Linked DNA regions of Macaca fascicularis. The main gene of each other region encodes a partner of the protein of the gene in region 3 in a complex. Links are inferred from orthologs where the notes say so. Each region holds a gene or a part of one and is shown on either strand. Other genes may lie near its edges.

The links.
Region 1: the proteins of CALCRL (region 3) and RAMP2 are in contact, whole or in part, in a crystal structure (PDB 3AQF), measured with the Homo sapiens proteins. The link is inferred for Macaca fascicularis from reciprocal best matches to the Homo sapiens genes CALCRL and RAMP2. Residues at the interface, in NP_001258680.1 of Homo sapiens: Arg38, Asn39, Ile41, Met42, Thr43, Gln45, Tyr46, Glu47, Tyr49, Gln50, Lys51, Ile52, Met53, Gln54, Trp69, Asp70, Gly71, Arg119; in NP_005845.2 of Homo sapiens: Trp86, Ile89, Tyr93, Ser94, Arg97, Leu109, Gly110, Pro112, Glu117, Ile120, Phe121, His124, Gln125, Phe128, Ala129, Cys131, Ser132, Leu133, Val134.
Region 2: the proteins of CALCRL (region 3) and ADM2 are in contact, whole or in part, in a cryo-EM structure (PDB 6UVA), measured with the Homo sapiens proteins. The link is inferred for Macaca fascicularis from reciprocal best matches to the Homo sapiens genes CALCRL and ADM2. Residues at the interface, in NP_001258680.1 of Homo sapiens: Val36, Thr37, Lys40, Asp70, Gly71, Trp72, Asp90, Tyr91, Phe92, Gln93, Asp94, Phe95, Asp96, Pro97, Ser98, His114, Ala116, Ser117, Thr120, Trp121, Thr122, Tyr124, Thr125, Asn128, Thr131, Lys134, Val135, Ala138, Leu139, Leu141; in NP_001240774.1 of Homo sapiens: Leu106, Arg107, Val108, Gly109, Cys110, Val111, Leu112, Gly113, Thr114, Cys115, Gln116, Val117, Gln118, Asn119, Leu120, Ser121, His122, Arg123, Leu124, Trp125, Gln126, Leu127, Met128, Gly129, Pro130, Ala131, Gly132, Arg133, Gln134, Asp135.
Region 4: the proteins of CALCRL (region 3) and RAMP3 are in contact, whole or in part, in a cryo-EM structure (PDB 6UVA), measured with the Homo sapiens proteins. The link is inferred for Macaca fascicularis from reciprocal best matches to the Homo sapiens genes CALCRL and RAMP3. Residues at the interface, in NP_001258680.1 of Homo sapiens: Arg38, Asn39, Met42, Thr43, Gln45, Tyr46, Glu47, Tyr49, Gln50, Met53, Trp69, Asp70, Ser117, Arg119, Thr120, Phe228, Leu231, Ile235, His238, Thr239, Val243, Val245, Lys249, Gln250, His251, Trp254, Tyr255, Phe257, Leu258, Phe262; in NP_005847.1 of Homo sapiens: Trp56, Cys57, Leu59, Phe62, Ile63, Tyr66, Glu67, Thr70, Cys82, Tyr83, Pro85, Asn86, Pro87, Leu88, Gln90, Ile93, Thr94, His97, Arg98, Cys104, Thr105, Val106, Asp107, Arg108, His110, Leu111, Glu112, Asp113, Pro114, Val118.

Annotation. Positions count from the first base shown.
Region 1 is NC_088390.1:63,817,497-63,821,698, reverse strand, and holds RAMP2 (receptor activity-modifying protein 2), read right to left. Parts: upstream 2,754-4,202; 5' UTR 2,752-2,753; coding exon 2,532-2,751; exon of another isoform or gene 2,283-2,531; coding exon of another isoform or gene 2,186-2,282; intron 1,719-2,185; coding exon 1,653-1,718; intron 1,191-1,652; coding exon 1,082-1,190; intron 949-1,081; coding exon 693-948; 3' UTR 506-692; downstream 1-505. UniProt on the Homo sapiens protein: Accessory protein that interacts with and modulates the function of G-protein coupled receptors including calcitonin gene-related peptide type 1 receptor (CALCRL) and calcitonin receptor (CALCR). Required for the transport of CALCRL to the plasma membrane.
Region 2 is NC_088384.1:1,082,180-1,086,251, forward strand, and holds the start of ADM2 (protein ADM2), read right to left. Parts: upstream 2,840-4,072; 5' UTR 2,565-2,839; coding exon 2,455-2,564; intron 1,856-2,454; coding exon 1,519-1,855; 3' UTR 1-1,518. UniProt on the Homo sapiens protein: Intermedin/ADM2 is a peptide hormone that plays a role as physiological regulator of gastrointestinal and cardiovascular bioactivities mediated by the CALCRL-RAMPs receptor complexes.
Region 3 is NC_088386.1:82,971,061-82,974,617, forward strand, and holds part of CALCRL (calcitonin gene-related peptide type 1 receptor), read right to left. Parts: intron 2,920-3,557; coding exon 2,766-2,919; intron 1,302-2,765; coding exon 1,241-1,301; intron 1,159-1,240; coding exon 1,092-1,158; intron 1-1,091. UniProt on the Homo sapiens protein: G protein-coupled receptor which specificity is determined by its interaction with receptor-activity-modifying proteins (RAMPs). Together with RAMP1, form the receptor complex for calcitonin-gene-related peptides CALCA/CGRP1 and CALCB/CGRP2.
Region 4 is NC_088377.1:85,177,154-85,181,319, forward strand, and holds the start of RAMP3 (receptor activity-modifying protein 3), read right to left. Parts: upstream 2,827-4,166; 5' UTR 2,789-2,826; coding exon 2,731-2,788; intron 1-2,730. UniProt on the Homo sapiens protein: Accessory protein that interacts with and modulates the function of G-protein coupled receptors including calcitonin gene-related peptide type 1 receptor (CALCRL), calcitonin receptor (CALCR) and G-protein coupled estrogen receptor 1 (GPER1).

The DNA.
Region 1 (4,202 bases), on a different chromosome or scaffold from region 3:
AAGGGAGGTGGAGGGGGGTTGTGAACCTAGTAAAGGAAGCCCCCACTGCTTTCTCCCACATTTGTGAGGTCCTTAGGAATGGATTCCTGTTGCTCAGTCAGGGTTCCTCTTCCCAGGCCCTGGGAGTAAACTGAGGCATGAAGAAGGGGAATAGTCAGGGCTCCTGGGCAGCCTCCTGCTCCTCTTGCAGGAGTCACAAGCACAGATTTTTCCTTTGCCCCTTCCCCCACACCTCCTCAGTTGCAGGCCCCCAGCTGCTGTCCAGACCGGAAGGGAGTCTCTTCCTGCTTGTTTCCTGGAGCTGAGTTTGGATAAGGACAGGAAAGGCCCGCCTGGGAGGAAAGAATATAGGGGTGTGACCTTCATGGAGGCAGGGAGCAGGGGGGCAGGTGAAATGAACAGAACAATGGGCCATCCAGATTTTTCCAGTTCTACTACCCAGAGCTGAGGGCCTATGGGAGTGGCAGGGAAGGACACAGGTTCCACTGAAATGGGAAGAAGGACATTGTACAAAAAAAGTTTTATTTTGAAGATTACAGAACTTGTGCCATTACCCCACCCGGCTTCCATTCCCAGCAATCCAGGGATCTGTGGTGGGGAAGAGAGTGAGAAAAGGGAGTAAGAGGGGAGGAGGGAGGCCTGGTTGGTGTGGGGAAGTGGAGTAAGGTGGTTATAGAGAAGCTCGTGGCTCCCTAGGCCTGGGCCTCACTGTCTTTACTCCTCCATACTACAAGAGTGATAAGGAAGGGGATGAGGCAGATGGGGGCTATGATCATGGCCAGGAGTACATCCTCTGGGGGGTCAGAGAAGGTGGGCTGCACCAGGGAGCAGTTGGCAAAGTGGATCTGGTGAGTCTCAAAGATGATCCTCTCTGCCAAGGGATTGGGGAAGCCCAGGTCAAACAACTCCGCAAAGTGCTCCAGGCATTCTCGCAGGGTGCTGTAAGGCCTAGGGGCAGAAGAGGACTTGAGTGAGGGAGGGGGTGGGCCCAGGGAGAAGAGTGCCCCACACTCACTCAAGGTCTACCTGCAATGAGCAGGCCCACCCCCTGGCCTGAGCCACCCTCCAGCACTGCCCCTACCTGCTAATCATGGCCCAGTCGCACCAATCCTTTTCGATAGAATCCATTTGATCCTTATAATGATTCCAGCAACATTGGACAGCTGTCTCATAGTTCTTCACCGTCACCCCTGTAGGTACAGATGCTGAACAATGACCACACCCCTGCCCCTCCCTCCAAACCCTCCTGCCCAGGTGCTTGCAAGGTGAACTGCCTGTCTTCAAACGTGGGAACCCTTCAGAAAGTTTCCCTAGCAAGACATTCTGGCGGAGGACAGAGTCCCAGCTCAGGAATCATGTAATGACTTCCATGTGCTAAGCACTTTCCATCCCAGCCTGATAAGAACTTCCACGTACACCTTTTCCTGGGGTCTTCTAGCCCACTTGTGAGGTGGGCAGCTCAGAGCCGCGCAGGGGCCGACCTGCACGTGAGAGGACAGGGAGAAAGACTGCAAGGAACCCCAAGAGAGAACAGAGGGGAGTTTAGTGGGGCATCAGCTGGGGTGGGGCAGGCCTTGTGGGAAAGGGACCCTCCCCACTGAACTTGCTGTCGTCCTTGCCCTCGGCCACCCTTCCACACCCCGGGTACCCACCTTCTGACCCCGTTGTGCCTGTGGTGGGAAGAGGCTGAGCCAGGGCCTCATGGGGCTTCAGGACAGCTGTGGGAAGAAACGGGAGAGGAGGGTAGCATAGCGGGGACCCAGGTAGTGGAGCCTGCGACGGGGTTGGGGGACTGAGACCCTCCGTAAACAGGGCTACCTTGGAAGAAAAGGAGGAATAATCTAGCCCCCACGGACGCCTCAGTGCCGGGGAGGGAGGGGCTGGCACCAGCTCCTAGTCACTCACACCCAGGCCCAAAGCCCCCTCACCTCTGGCCAGCTCCTGTCCTCCGAAGCCCTCTCCGCAGGGCCGGGGCCGGCACCCCAGCTTTCCCCGGGTGGGAAGCAGCTCGTGCTGCGCCCTCCCCGAGGTGGGGTCAGGGACCGTCCGAAGGCCAGTGCTGCTCGGTCCGTCGGTCCGCACCCGGACCCCGGGCCCGTTCCGGCCTCGGCCATCCAGCCCCTCTCCCCTCTCCCCTCCGGGGCCTCCCGCGCCTCCCTCCCGGGCCTCGGGGCGCCGCGCTCACCGCCCAGCAGGAGGAGGAGGCGGAGCGCTGCCGGCCGCCCGGCGCGGGTCCTAGGGAGCCGCGGGCCGCCGGCGCGCTCCACCCGGAGCCAGGCCATCGTGCAGCTAGGAGGCGAGGAGCGGCGGCTGCGCTGAGCCGGGCCCGGGTGTGGGGGCGCCTATATCCCCAGCCCAAGCTGCAGGAAGCCGCGCCGCTTCCTCGGAGGGGCTGGGACGGCGGCGGCCACGTGGGGGGCGGGGGCGACGCCCGGGGCCAGAGGCTGGAGGGGGAGTAGCTGCCGCACCCGCGCCTGGCGCCCGCGGCTCCCTCCGCTTCGCCGGCGTTGGCCCACCCTCTCGTAGCTCACCCCGCGAGGCTGGACAGCTCCCGGAACCCCGGAACCGGGATCTATTTCGGGGGCTCGGCTGCGTGGCGCCCAGGACTCTCCAGGGTCTCCCAGGATCGCTCCCTGGATTCAAGTCGCGCTCTCTCTCTTTCGGGTCTGTAGGGGTCGGCAAGCTGCTCTCCCAGACCTGGAGAACAGGGAGGAGGCTGGGAGCTCCAGCGGCCTCTCGACGCCGCTGCATCTAAAGGGCTGTCTTGGGTTGTGGGGCAAGGGGCGCCTGGAGCTGAGCCGGGCAGCTCAGGGTTCCTTATCCTATCCCTAGGAACACCCGCTGATGTCAGCCCACCAGCCAAAACCAGGGAGGAGAAGCGGGAGCCGGCCCTCCGGAGTCGGGAAAAGGTCTGCGGAGTGGGGTAGAGGGGAAAACAAAGTCCAAATACCCTCCCTTCAGATACCTCCTGGGGCCTAGACCCCACAAACCTGTTGTGGGGGGGACAAAATACGATGGCTACGTTCCCAGGAAGAAGGTGCCACAGTTCTTCAGGACCACGGTTGGGAGAAAGAAGGGAGGGGTTTTAGAACCTTCAGTGTGCCACTTCATGTGCCTGGTGAGTGTATCACCATTTTACAGACCAAGAAACTAAAGCTCAGGGCCAACAGCCCGGGATTTGAATTCAGAGGCTCTGGGTTCTAATTCTGCCTTCCTACTCCCCAGATATAGGGCCTTGAATGACACATTTACCTTTAGGACTTCTCGTGTAAAATAGGGACATTCGCTTCCTCACCAAACAGTGACGATGGCAGCTGTGAAAGGGCACTGCACTCGCTAAATGCTAGTTTCCTTTCCTCTTTTCCTAAGTGACTTATCTAAGGTCACACCGTTAAGGAAGCAGCAAGGCTGAGCCTGGGCCTCCAGGGGCCCTGACTTTGGCCACACCACAGTTGCCTCTTGTGTCCTGGGCCAGAGGTTCATTACTCTGAGGCAGCTGAGGAACCCAAGAGCTGGTTTGGCCATGATGTTCAAGTCCCAGACACAGCTGTCAGCACCAAACTTTCCTAAATTACTCCCAGACACTGACCTTTGGACTCAGCTGCTGCTGTTGTCCCAGTTTACTGCCCACCACAAATTATCTGTCATGATCTCTCTTGAAGTCTTCATCTCAGGATCTCAAGCTCTTGGATCATGGGCACAGATAACCTGTTGTCCTCCTCTATGGTCAAGAGGCTGCTTTTGCAAGGAATCCAGTGGGAGAGAGTCAATGGCCTGCTTGACGTGAACTCCAAAGTCCTCCTGGTAAGGATCATTTCTATAATGATTCAGAAAGGAGCCAGGCAGTCTCCAAGACGTTTCAGGCTGGGACCAAATCTAGTCCTTCCTGCCTGCCTAGGATTGCTCCTTTCAAGAAGGAAACATGGTAGATTTCTGGGTGATAAGATGGGAGGAGGGAGCAAGGAGGTGCAGAAAGCAAAACAAGCCATTTTCACTGGGTTGGGGCCAGAAGCACATGAGCCCACTATGGGTTAGGACTGGGGTTGGGGTCAAGATTAAAGGGGACAAAAGCAAATGTTAGATTTAAAATAGAGCCTGGGCATCATAGTGAAGCCTTGTCTCTACAAAAAAAAAATAATAATAATTTTAAATTAGCCTGGCATAGTGATATGCACCTGTAGTCCCAGCTACTCGGGAGGCTG
Region 2 (4,072 bases), on a different chromosome or scaffold from region 3:
ACTGATCCAGTGCTTCTCCCAGGGAGCCGGCCTTGACTGCCTTGCTGTGCGGCCCACCACCCTGACCACCTCTGCTGCAACCCTAGTCCATCTCCCAGTGCACGGAGGCCTCCACAGGGCAGGATCAGCCTGGACTGTTCCCACAGGGCCTCATGGAGCACAGGTCAGTTACCTGGACCCGGCGATCCCTGAGCTCAGGGAGCAAGCACAGAGGCGGCGCCTGGGTGGGCGCTTCCAGGACCCTCCCCTTTGGAGGTAGTCACTGAGGGGCAGGCTGTGGGGGAATGTCCTGAGCTCTGCTGTAGCCTCTAGAGTTGGGGTGATCATGGTGACCCTCATGGGGTGGCTGAGAGGGTGACCCTAGCAAACATTTGCAAATTAAATGCTGAGTGTTTGCTAAGTAGCGGAAGGAACCCTTTCTGAACCCCGCGTTCTGCTGGACGACTGGGAGCCTCGAGTGGCACACGCACATGAGCCCCCATCTCCCCGGGGAAGAACACACACCAAGTCCGTGCACACTGGCAGTGGTTCTTGTTCTTGTCATTTGGGGCTGGGCTGCCCTCCCGGGCTCTTGGCGAGTCACCTGCTGCCCCCACACCTGGTTCCACTGGGCCCCCACACTGGGTGGTGGTGGGGCGCCTGGGTTGCCTGTGGAGCCCCACCCTTGTCTGGCTGCCAACAAGGGTCTCACCCCCTTGAGGTGGGGTGGGTCTATTTGGGCTGGGGGATCTTGCCTCACCCAGCCCTGCCCTGTCCTGGGGTAGGAAGGGGTGTCCCTGTCCCAGAATGGTTTGGGGTGGCTTCTGAACTGCTGAGTTCCCCTCCCCGGCCTCCCACAGGGCATCCAGATGGAGTCCCCATGGCTACCTCAGTCTGGGCTCCAGGGTTGGCAGCTGGAGCCACAGAGGTCCCTTCATGACCTCTGGAGGGCCACCATCCTTCCCTTGCCCAACCCCAGGGGGCTATAGCATCCCACACTCCCTGTCCTGTCCCAAAGGCATGGGGAGGGAGAGGCTGGGACCCCCGGCCAGGCAGGCACGTGGAAGGGCTGGTTGTGCATGACAGCAGGAACAGCCCAGGCACAAGGCCGGGCTTCAGTCTGACTGGACCAGCAGTGGAGGGGCCGCTTCCGGCCAATTCAGCCCCTCTCCCCTGTTCGTCCAGACGTGGCCCTGTGGGTTCAGGGCCCAGCTTCTGCTCCACGTCCCTGGCAGATGCCTCCTTTTTAAAACGCTTTTTAGCATCTGGTGCTGCCACCAGCTGGGTCTGGCAGCCATCCCCCAAGGGTTTACAATTTCAGGGTGTTTAGGCTCCTTGACATACCAGCACTGCATATAGACCAGCCTCGGTCTACAGGTGTGCAAGGGTTTACGTGTGCGACGCCGTGCAGGCATTGTTGCTGCAGGACCTGCTGTCTGCAGCTCCGCGGGACTGGGCTGCGGAGGGGGCTCAGCTGCAGCTCTGGACGGGGGCACAGCACCCTGGCTGGGATGGCCAGGGGTGTGGCCCAGCCCCACTTCAGCCATAGCTGTGGGGGCTGCTGGGGTCCACAGGAGCTGAGTCCTGCCGGCCAGCCGGTCCCATGAGTTGCCACAGGCGGTGGCTGAGATTCTGCACCTGACAGGTGCCCAGCACACAGCCCACTCGCAGGAGCTGGGCTTGGGTCCTGCGGGAGCCCGAGTGTCTTCGGGGGCCCGAGTGTTGGCGGCCACCATCCCGGAGAGGCTGACCCATAGCAGGGGCCAGGCCAGCACCCCTCTGTGGCTGGAGGGCCTGGTGAAGCTTCCAAACCACAGGTCGGGGTGCGGGGTGCCTGGGCTGCAGGTTGCTGGAAGGGGTCCGGGCTGGGGGCTCCCTGCAGAGGCAGATGGAGAATGTCAACTGGATGGCTCAGCCTTTCAGAGACCTCACACCTACCCACTTTTGCCTCTACACAGGCCTGGGTCACTGCCAGGGGAAGCCCACGGCCCCCACCCACACACAGCCTGGAGCATAGCCAGGGGAAGCCCACGCGTCCCCTCTGGGCTTGGGGCCTGGGACCATCTCAGTGGCCCGGGTCACGTGTCCTGGGAACCGGCACCTCCTTGAGCAAAGGGCACCCCCGCGGCCCAGCCTCTGCGGGTCACCACTCTCAGGGCTCAGGGTGACTCAGCTTCTGCCCTCCCTTTGGTCACAGGTGGGCCTGGGGATACCGCCAGCCTTCCCTCCCCCAGCAGACACCCCCAGAAAAGGGGCTGCTGTGTCCACCTGTGTGGGGAGAAGCAACTGCCCTGTGCAGGGAGGCAGAGGAAGAGGGTCCTCTGGCCCTGCTCAGGCGCTGCTGAGCCTGGGGCAGGGGCCTTGGTTTGGGACGGGAGCCCTAGCAGCAGGTGGCGGTTGGAGGGAGGGCGGCCCCCGGCACTCTGCTTCCCTGTGGGGGCCAGAGGGGCTGGCTGGCCCAAGACCTGGACTCACCTGGGTTTGACGGGACGCGGGTCCCCGCCCAGGCTGCGGGACAGCACGCCAGGGAGCTGCAGGCAGAGGAGGCTGATGCAACCCAGGGCGGCCGTCGGGATCCGGGCCATGGCGGGCGGCGCTGCGGGGGAGGGAGCGGTGAGCCGGGCAGGTCGGGGGCAGCCTGAGCCGCGAGCCACCCCCTCCGCCGGCACCTCGGGGAGCCCTCCGCGGTCGGGGCACCGGGCGTGGGTATGGCAAGCTGGGCACGGGCGTCCGTCGGGGCGCAGGCCTCGGGCGCGAAGCGGGCAGCGGGTCTGGGGTCGGCCGCGGGTCCAGAGCGCAAGGCGGAGCGGGCTGGGCGGGTTGGGGGTCCTGTCTGGAGCAGAGTCGCGGCCCGGATGGCACCTCTGGAGCTGAATACGTAGCCTTTCCAGCAAGGGGCGGAGCCGGGTGCACGGACGGGGCGGGGCGCCCCTGCCCCGGGCTAAGCCACGCTCCGGGGCGGGGAGGGGGCTGTTCCCGCCGGGAGCGCTCGGCGACGGGCCCGGGACCGCGGGGCTGCCAGCCTCACTCCAGGCGCCTTCTAGTGGGGACGCAGCCCCGAGCCTGGGGGGGCCGGTCTTCCCCAGGCTGAAGCGGGGTTCTAGGGGGCGAGCCGTAGTCCAAGCTGATCCCACGGCTGGGGCGGACTCTCACCCTGTCAACCACCTCCCGATTGGTGGGTCCTGGCGGTCCCACCCTCCAGGGTCTGATCCGGTGGACCCCGGACCCGGGCCTGACCAGGGAGTCCGCGGGATTCCGCTATCGTCTGACGCGGTGTCCCCAAACCCGGGGCTGCGCTCCTAAAAAGCTCTACCTACCGCCAGCCGCTCCAACCCCAGACCAAAGTATTGCACGGTTTCTGTAACAAATCTAAACAAGTGTCCGGGCGCGGTGGCTCACTCCGGTAATTCCAGCAATTTGGGAAGCCGAGGCGGGCGGATCACCTGAGGCCTGGAGTTTGAGACTAGCCTGGCCAACATGGAGAAACCCGTCTCTACTAAAAATAAAATTAGCTGGTCATGGGCCGGTGGGGCGCGGAGGCTCACGCTTGTAATCCCAGCACTGTGGGAGGCCGAGGCGAGTGGATCACGAGGTCAGGAGATCAAGACCATCCTGGCTAACACGGTGAAACTCCCTCTCTATTAAAAATACAAAAAATGAGCCGGGCGTGGTGGCGGGCGCCTGTAGTCCCAGCTACTCGGGAAGCTGAGGCAGGAGAATGGTGTGAACCCGGGAGGCGGAGCCACTGCACTCCAGCCTGGGGGACAGAGCTAGACTCCGCCTCCGAACCCCCCCCAAAAAAATTAGCTGGGCTTGGTGGCGGGTCCCTGTAATCTCAGCCACTTGGGAGGCTGAGGCAGGAAAGGCTGAGGCTTGAACCCAGGCGGTGGAGGTTACAGTGAGCTGAGATCGTGCCATTGCATTCCAGCTTGGGCGACAGAGTGAGACTCCGTCTCAAAAATTAAAAAAAAAAAGAAATTTAAACAAGTGAAACGTGAGACTCTCCTCATCATTACCACCCACTGGGTACCCCTACCCCGGTCTGGGTGGGAGCCCTCTCCTGACCCGCCCTGGGCACACCAAGGTGCGGCCG
Region 3 (3,557 bases):
CAGCTGTAACTAAAATACCACTCTGAAGGACTGTAATTGCATTATGATCTCTAATACTCTCTGAGACAAAGCATACTAGATTGCTAGTTTGTATTAATTTACTTTCTCATTCAAATAATGTAATACACTTGTAATCCCAGCAGTTGTGGAGGCCAAGACAGAAGGATCCCTGGAGCCCAGGAGTTTGAGACCAGCCTGGGGAACATAGTGAGATCCGTCTCTATAAAAATGTTTTAAAAACTTATCCAAGCATAGTAGTGTATACCTAGTCTTAGCTTCTCAGGAGCCTGAGGTGGGAGGATCCGTTAAACCCAGGAGTTAGGGGCTGCAGTGAGCTATGATCATTCCACTGCACTCTAGTCTGGGCAACAGAGCAAGACTTTTTTTCAATTAAAATAATAAAAAATAATAATAGTGTAATAAAAGCATCGAATGTGACTTCTGTTTTTCTGCAATCACACTAAAATGTCTAATTGGTGCACTGACATTAAGTGATAATAATTATAATGTAAAATTTACATAAGTATTTTGTTTTATCTTGTTTGTCACCTCCCACCCCCCTGCTAATTCATCCTCTATTCCTCTCTGTGCCACAGGAGGCTGATGTCTGTGAACAGCTTCACCCAGACTTCCTTGCCCTGAGACATTTGCTGCATCTGGCTAATGGGGGAAAAAAAGATAAGAGTATGGGAATAAAGATAAATTCGAGTCTTTGTTTCTGCTGCCTCTATTCTGCCAGGCTGTGGTTTTGGCAGTGGTTGTTTTTCTCCAATCAAAATCAGATCTCTTACTGGGTGACTCCTCCCAGTGCTCATTTCACTACACTAACACTTCTCTCTTCAGGTCTACCTGTGATAACAGCATTCCACTGTTGATCCCCAATGGCTCACCATCCCTTACTAATTAGTTACTTTGCCTTTCCTGCCTATACATCAAATATGATACCTTCACTAAACTCTACTCATTTAAGCACTGTGAACATGCATATCCATCTGTGTCCACTGGGACCCTGAAGGATATCATAGGCCAGATGGTTCAGAAATAAAGTTGAAATGTGAGCAATGATAAGGAAAGGAGAATTTGTTACATACCAGTAAAGCAGCACAAATTGGGCCATGGATAATATAGAGGAGATGGGTATCAGAACTGATCCAGCAACTAGAGAAAACATAAAAACATTATGTTGAAAATTTTTATTTTACATTATTCCAGTAGAAATAATAAAAAGAGATTTTCTTACTTGTCATTGTAATATAAGCTTCTAGCAATGGCATGTATACAAGCAGGAATCAGTGGAAATCCTATAATACCAAAGAAAAAGAAAATAAATTGGATTTTTTTCTACAGATGGTATTTCAAAAATATATAATTAAATACAAAAATTCAAAGATACTCTAGAAGCAAAAAAACTAGCCACTGTATATTTGTTGAATAAACATTATTTGTATAGTCAACAATACACATTATAAAGTATTAGATATTTACATTTTTATGTTTGTGTGTATGTGTGTGTATGTTTTCTTCTACTATAATTCATAGGTCATTTTGAATCAGTGGACTTCAGAACTTAACTCTTAAGATGTGTTTCCTAAGCCACAAGGATTAGAAGAAATTCAGCATTCATGTACTTTCTGTGAGATGGAATTGGCCAATATTTGGTACATTATCAGATGTGGAAAAAAGGTGAGAATCACAAGAACTTCCACTATGAGAGAGATTACTACTAGTAAGCCATTATTTGAAGAAGAGGAGAAAAAAAAGAGATTAATTTATGTACCAAAAATTTGGCAGGCTTTGAACATTCTAAATCAGCTCTTCCAAATATGAAATTAAGCAATGCTTTATAAAGTCAATCAGAATACACTAAAATTGTGTGTGTGCGTGTGTGTGTATATTACACCTCTGTATATGTTTTTCTTTCTAGATATAGATGATAGCTTAGATAGATGATAGAGATAGATAGATAGATAGATAGATGATAGAGATAGATATAGATAGATAGATAGATAGATAGATAGATAGATAGACAGACAGACAGACAGACAGACAGATAGATAGATAGATAGATAGATAGATAGATAGATAGATAGATAGATAGATAGATAGATAGATGGTAGGGTAGATATATGATAATAGATAAGTACAACTTCAGTTTTGTTTCTGGAAACTAGTCCTGTTAAATTCATTTCTGCACTTCATATTTTGTATTATTCCAGTTATTTTTAGTATGTCAGAAGTATATCACTGTTTTCTTTGTGAATAATGCCACATCAGAAGATTGTGTGGAAAAAAATAAATCTGTTGCATGCCTTTATTCAATTACTAATCCCTCTACTCTTATCATAAAATGACAATATTTTAAACAAATATTTTTAGAATGGAACTTCAAAGATGTTTAAATCCAATGCTCTCATTTTACACGTGGCAAAAATGAATATTCAGAATAGTAAAAAGACTAAATCTTTAATTTATCATTCTACTTCTATTGTTTTAGTCACTACATAGTCAGTCAAGTTACCCTCTTCATTGGCATATTCAATAGAAAAAAAGACACTATTATATATTGACTTGTGACTACTGAAAACAATAGATGAGTCAGTGATTCTTTGCTTAAAATGTTGCAATTTGCAATAATAGGCAAAAGTTAATCACCTGATACTTTAAAAATGATTACTCATTGGTATATTCGTATTACAAAGGAACCTGGCATCCTCCAAAGGCTTTTTTAATCCATTGAATCAACAAGTATGTATAATAACACTTACCCCAGCCAAGAAAATAATACCACATTAAGTGTTGCTTCTCTGCAAACACAGCCACCACGATGAGTGTGTGTAGGTAAATGCCTTCACAGAGCATCCAAAAGTAATTACAGCCCATCAGGTAAAGATGAATGAACTGGGACACTTTGCAACTAACCTGTGAGAAGAAAAAAACAATATTTACTTGTTTATGAATTGACATGTAAAACAATAGTTTTAGCTCAGGAAACATGGAACTTTCTCCCCTCCACACAAAATCCCATACATTAATGATTAGAATTTGTGGAATGCCAGTCTTCCTATTCATCTAATGATGCCTTTAAAGTTTTTAGCCACAGACTCCAAAGATTTATAATGGTATATCTTCCAGAAAAGTCTAAATTCTAAATCTACTTTATTTAGTGAATGTGTATTTTCTGAATGTGTTTTTGTTATTATGTAATTATAAGTATAAAAGTGTCACACATAAATAACTTTACACTTATTTACATCATCATGAATCCCTTGACTGTTGCATTCTGCTGAAAATAATAGTAATTTTACAACCAATTCATTAAAAGTGCCCAAATACTTGAAAAGTTTTGCATATTACATGCTCCTCATGCAAATGCTTATTAAATAATCATCTAATATATCCAAAGGTTATCCTATCCAAATATGGGGTTTGAGGGCTTTGTGTAAGTAAAAAGAGGACCAGATTATTGTTTCCCTTCTGTTTTTCCTGAGGTCTCTATTTTTGCTTCTCTACTTTAAAAGAGGCAAGGAAGAGAGACATTCAAATTACAGCAAAGAAAA
Region 4 (4,166 bases), on a different chromosome or scaffold from region 3:
TGGGAGGCTGTGGATTCTGGGTGGTTCTGCCCCTGTTCTCTGTGGTTGGGCAACTTCCTCTCAACCCTCCAGACTTCTGTTTCCTTATGAAGAGTAGGTAAGAGCATGGAGGTCAGATAACCTCCAAGGAACCTCCAGTGCCAAAAATCTATGGGCCTCTTCTTGGCCAATCACCACCATCAAGTCTTCTTTTTTTTTTTTTTTTTTTTTTTTTTTTTTTTGACAGAATCTCGCTTTGTCACCAGGCTGGAGTGCAATGGCACAATCTCGGCTCACTGCAATCTCCGCCTCCCAGGTTCAAGTGATTCCCCTGTCTCAGCCTCCCGAGTAGCTGAGACTACAGGCATGCATCACCACACCCAGCTAATTTTTTGTATTTTTAGTAGAGATGGGGTTTCACCATGTTGGCCAGGATGGTCTCAAACTCCTGACCTCGTGATCTGCTCGGCCTCCCAAAGTGCTGAGATTACAGGCGTGAGCCACTGCCCCCGGCCTGCCACCTCCAAGTCTTTAATTCACCAGAGTTACTGCTATCCAACCACGGCCCTTGGGCCCACTTGATTCAGCAGAATCAATGTGACCACAGGTAACATGGTAGCAGGACATCATTTAGTGATAAAAATGGTGGTACCATGCTTGCACACACAGGCACACACACTATGGTGCTCCATCTTTGGGTGCTGTGAGTGAGCCTCATGAGGCCCAGTGCAGTCACTGGTGGGTGCCTTCCTACACCTCCCCTTGTTTAAGCATGAATCCTTCCACCCCACAATCCCATGCCCAACACAAGACGATAAAGACTAAACTGAATGGAATCAAACTGACGGTCTCAGCAGCCCTTTGCAGGTTGCTACTATTACATCTACATTGCAGCTGGGAAACTGAGGCCAGTGAGTGCTTTGTAATCTTGGGATCATGATCGGGATTTTCACCCAGACCAAAAGAGTCCAGTCAAGGGCTGGACTACTGGCTGCATTAGTAAAAGTCGCAGGAACTGAATCAAAATAGAAAACAGCAAAGCATCCTGCTGAGTAGACAACTGCTGGACTTTGCATCCCCACAGCCCTGCACAGCATCAAATGCTTTCTGGAAAAAGGTTTGGAATTCTCAAAGAAGCCCCAGAGGTCAGCACCCTCCCTGCTGGTCCCCCTGAGCCAGTCCTCACTCAAGAGGAACCCACCCAGCTCCTTCCTTCCAGATACAGCAGCATCCAGGGCAGATGTGGGCTCCAGTCCCACCTCTGACACATCAGCCTGGAACCATGAGCAAGTTTTACCTCTCTCTGAATCTCACTCTGGCCAGGCAAACACTGGGAGGGTCTGCTGAGAAGCTGGGCCTGGTCCCCATTCTGGCCAGGGAGCATGAACCCATGTCCCATTGGAGGGGGACAGTCAGGACCAACACAACAAGACAAAGAAGTGACCCTCAGGAACTGGGTCCACAAGAGACAGGATTATTAAGAGGAGGGATTCTGTGCAGGCGGAAGCCTGTGGTCCTTCTCAATTCCATACTGGAGATGGTTAGGAAAGCCTCAGCTTCTCCCAGAATGAATTCAGAGGACCTTCCTTCCATTATAGTGACCAAGATCTCCACCTGAGGGGAGCTCACTGGAAGTTTGCTGAAATCCCAAATCAGCATGTTCCTGATTTCAGAAGCTGCCACGCACCTTTGCACTTCAACACAAAATGAACCACGTCCTAGGCTCCAGCCCTGGAACACCAAATGAAGCCACACATGTTCTGCACACCAAGACCTCTTCAATGGAAGGAAAATGAACACTGAGTTTGGTCCACCCTTTTCCCACCTCCCTTACCAAATCCCAAATCATCAAAACAGGCCCAACGCTGCATCTTACAGTCAGGGAAACTGGGGACCACCAGACCAGGGCCCTCCCTCACCAGTGTCCCCCCAGAACTGGCCAGGCTCAGTCGCCACTTAGTGTACTCCAGCCCTCAGCAAGCACTCTTCCCCAACAGCCCTTACACACATTCTCTCTCTCTCTCTCTCTCTCTCTCCCCCCCCCTCCTCTCTCTCTCTCTCTCTCTCTCTCACTTTCTCTTGGATAATTTCTTTAGTAAGGTAGTTCAAAATAAGCTTTTAGTTTAATCTGTTTCCATTTTGTGAGCAACGGTTCTCCCCAGAGTCCTGATTTATTGCGGAAGAAGACATTAGGAGAGGATGGCTCAGAGAGTCGCCCCGCTTCCCCTGTCAGCCAGTTCCAAGACACACACAAGCGTCCACACACTGAAGGGCCCTGCTAGGACCAGCTACGCAGTCCGGAGTCCACCCGCCCACGCCCCTGTGAGTGGTGGGCAGGCACTCAATGCCAGGACAGGGAGCTCACTACCTCACCGACAACCCATCCTAGGGGGAAGGGGGAAAGAGCCAGGCCTGGTCCGCCTCCTCTCTCGCCCACCCTGAGGCGACCCCAGAACTGGGGCGTGGGGGGACATCACAACTAGGAGGAGCGGGGACTGCCGGACCCCGCCGGCAGAAGAGCCCGGAGGGGACCCTGTGCCTCCCTTGCCCGCCAGAGTTCTTTGCCTTCAGCTTCTCCCGGGTGAACCCTCCCGCAGAGCCTGGGGAGCCCGCCAGGGTCGCTGTGCGCCCCTCCCGAGCTCAGGGGGAAAGGAAGGACTGCGGCGCAGGTGCAGGAAGGCGCGGGTCCACGCGGGTCCGATGAACTCCGGGAAGTGGGGGCGCCTCCGGTGCGGGTCGACGCCCCCTTACCGCAGAGCAGCAGCAGCAGCGGGAGAAGTTGCGGGCGCCGCCGCGCTCCAGTCTCCATGGCTGGCCGGCCGCGGCTGGGTCACGCTTGGTCCGGCTGGGGGTGCAACCGGGGACGCCCGGATGGGATTGGGGTGGGGCGGGGCCTCAGGGAGTCCGCCCCCAGGCCGCACCCCCCAGACCACGCCTCCAGCCGTGCCCGTTACCTCCAGATGTGGGGTGCAGGCCTTGCAGGCGCGCCGGGTGGGAGGGACAGGGGGCGGCTGGAGTCTGGGCTGGAATCTCAGCGGGGGTGAGAGTGGGGTGAGGGCTGGGTTTCGAGCTGGGGACTAGCTGGGGTAAGGTGGGGTGCCGGCTCTGAGGGCGGGACTGGGGTGCTGAGCTGCAAAGGAGCGTTTTGGGAGCAGACTGCAGGGGCAGGCTGGGAGGTGAGCTGGAGTGAGAGTGGGGGCCGGCTGATGGTAGGCTGGGCTGCAGGCTGGAAGGACTTGGGGAACTTCCGTCCAGGCTGGGGGCAGAGTGTGGGGGTAGACCGGGGAGGGAGCTGAGGTGTGGATGAAGCGCGGACTGATGATGGCCTAGAGGAGGCTGCGGGTAGACTGGAGGAAGGTGGACCTGGGGGTGGGCTAGGTGTGCCCTGGCCGAAAGTAGACCAGAGTCCAGAGCTGCCCCCAGGCAGGGAGGGGACCTTTGAGCAGAGACACATCTAGGAGCCAGGTCTCCAAGGGTCAGGAAAGTGCATGAAGGAGGTTGGGGTGTGTGTGTGTGTGTGTGTGTGTGTGTGTGTGTGGTGTTCATGGAATATGTGTGTGATGTGCATGTGGAGTATGTGTAGATGCATGTGTGTGCATGGAGTGTGTGATGTATGGTGTGTGTGTGGCATGTGTGAGTTTGAGTCTGAGACAAGGTGTGTTTGTGAGTGTGTGCTTGGGAAACAGTGTGTATGAGAGAGACTGGAGGATGTGGCAGCTACACACAGAGATATATCACACATCAAGGACCAAGCCACAAGCAAACCGAGGGACAAGAGTATCTGGCGCCCCCAAAGACCTGGCCTCGGAGAGTGTCAGGGTTCCTGAGGGGAAGGAAGGCCTCAGTTTCTCCAGCCACAGGTCACTTAGCCAGATGGGTCGCCTCTGTCATCCTCAGCCCCTAGCACAGGCCCTGGCTCCAGTGGACACTTGATGGTGTCTGCAGAATTGTCACTGGCCAGGACTTCCGAGAGCCAGCTAGAGGCCCCTCTCTGCCCTCCAGGGCCCACCCACCACCCCTGGGGGCGCATGCTGGTCTGAGGTTGGAGCACAGGCCCAGGCTCCCACACGGATGGGCCCTCCACTCCTCTGAGCCGTAGGTACTGCTACCTTCCCAGGAGCTGAGCTGACCTTCTCCTGGCTTAGAAAGACCCACTTTATTTAACAAGACCCTTATTTGGGAGCAGA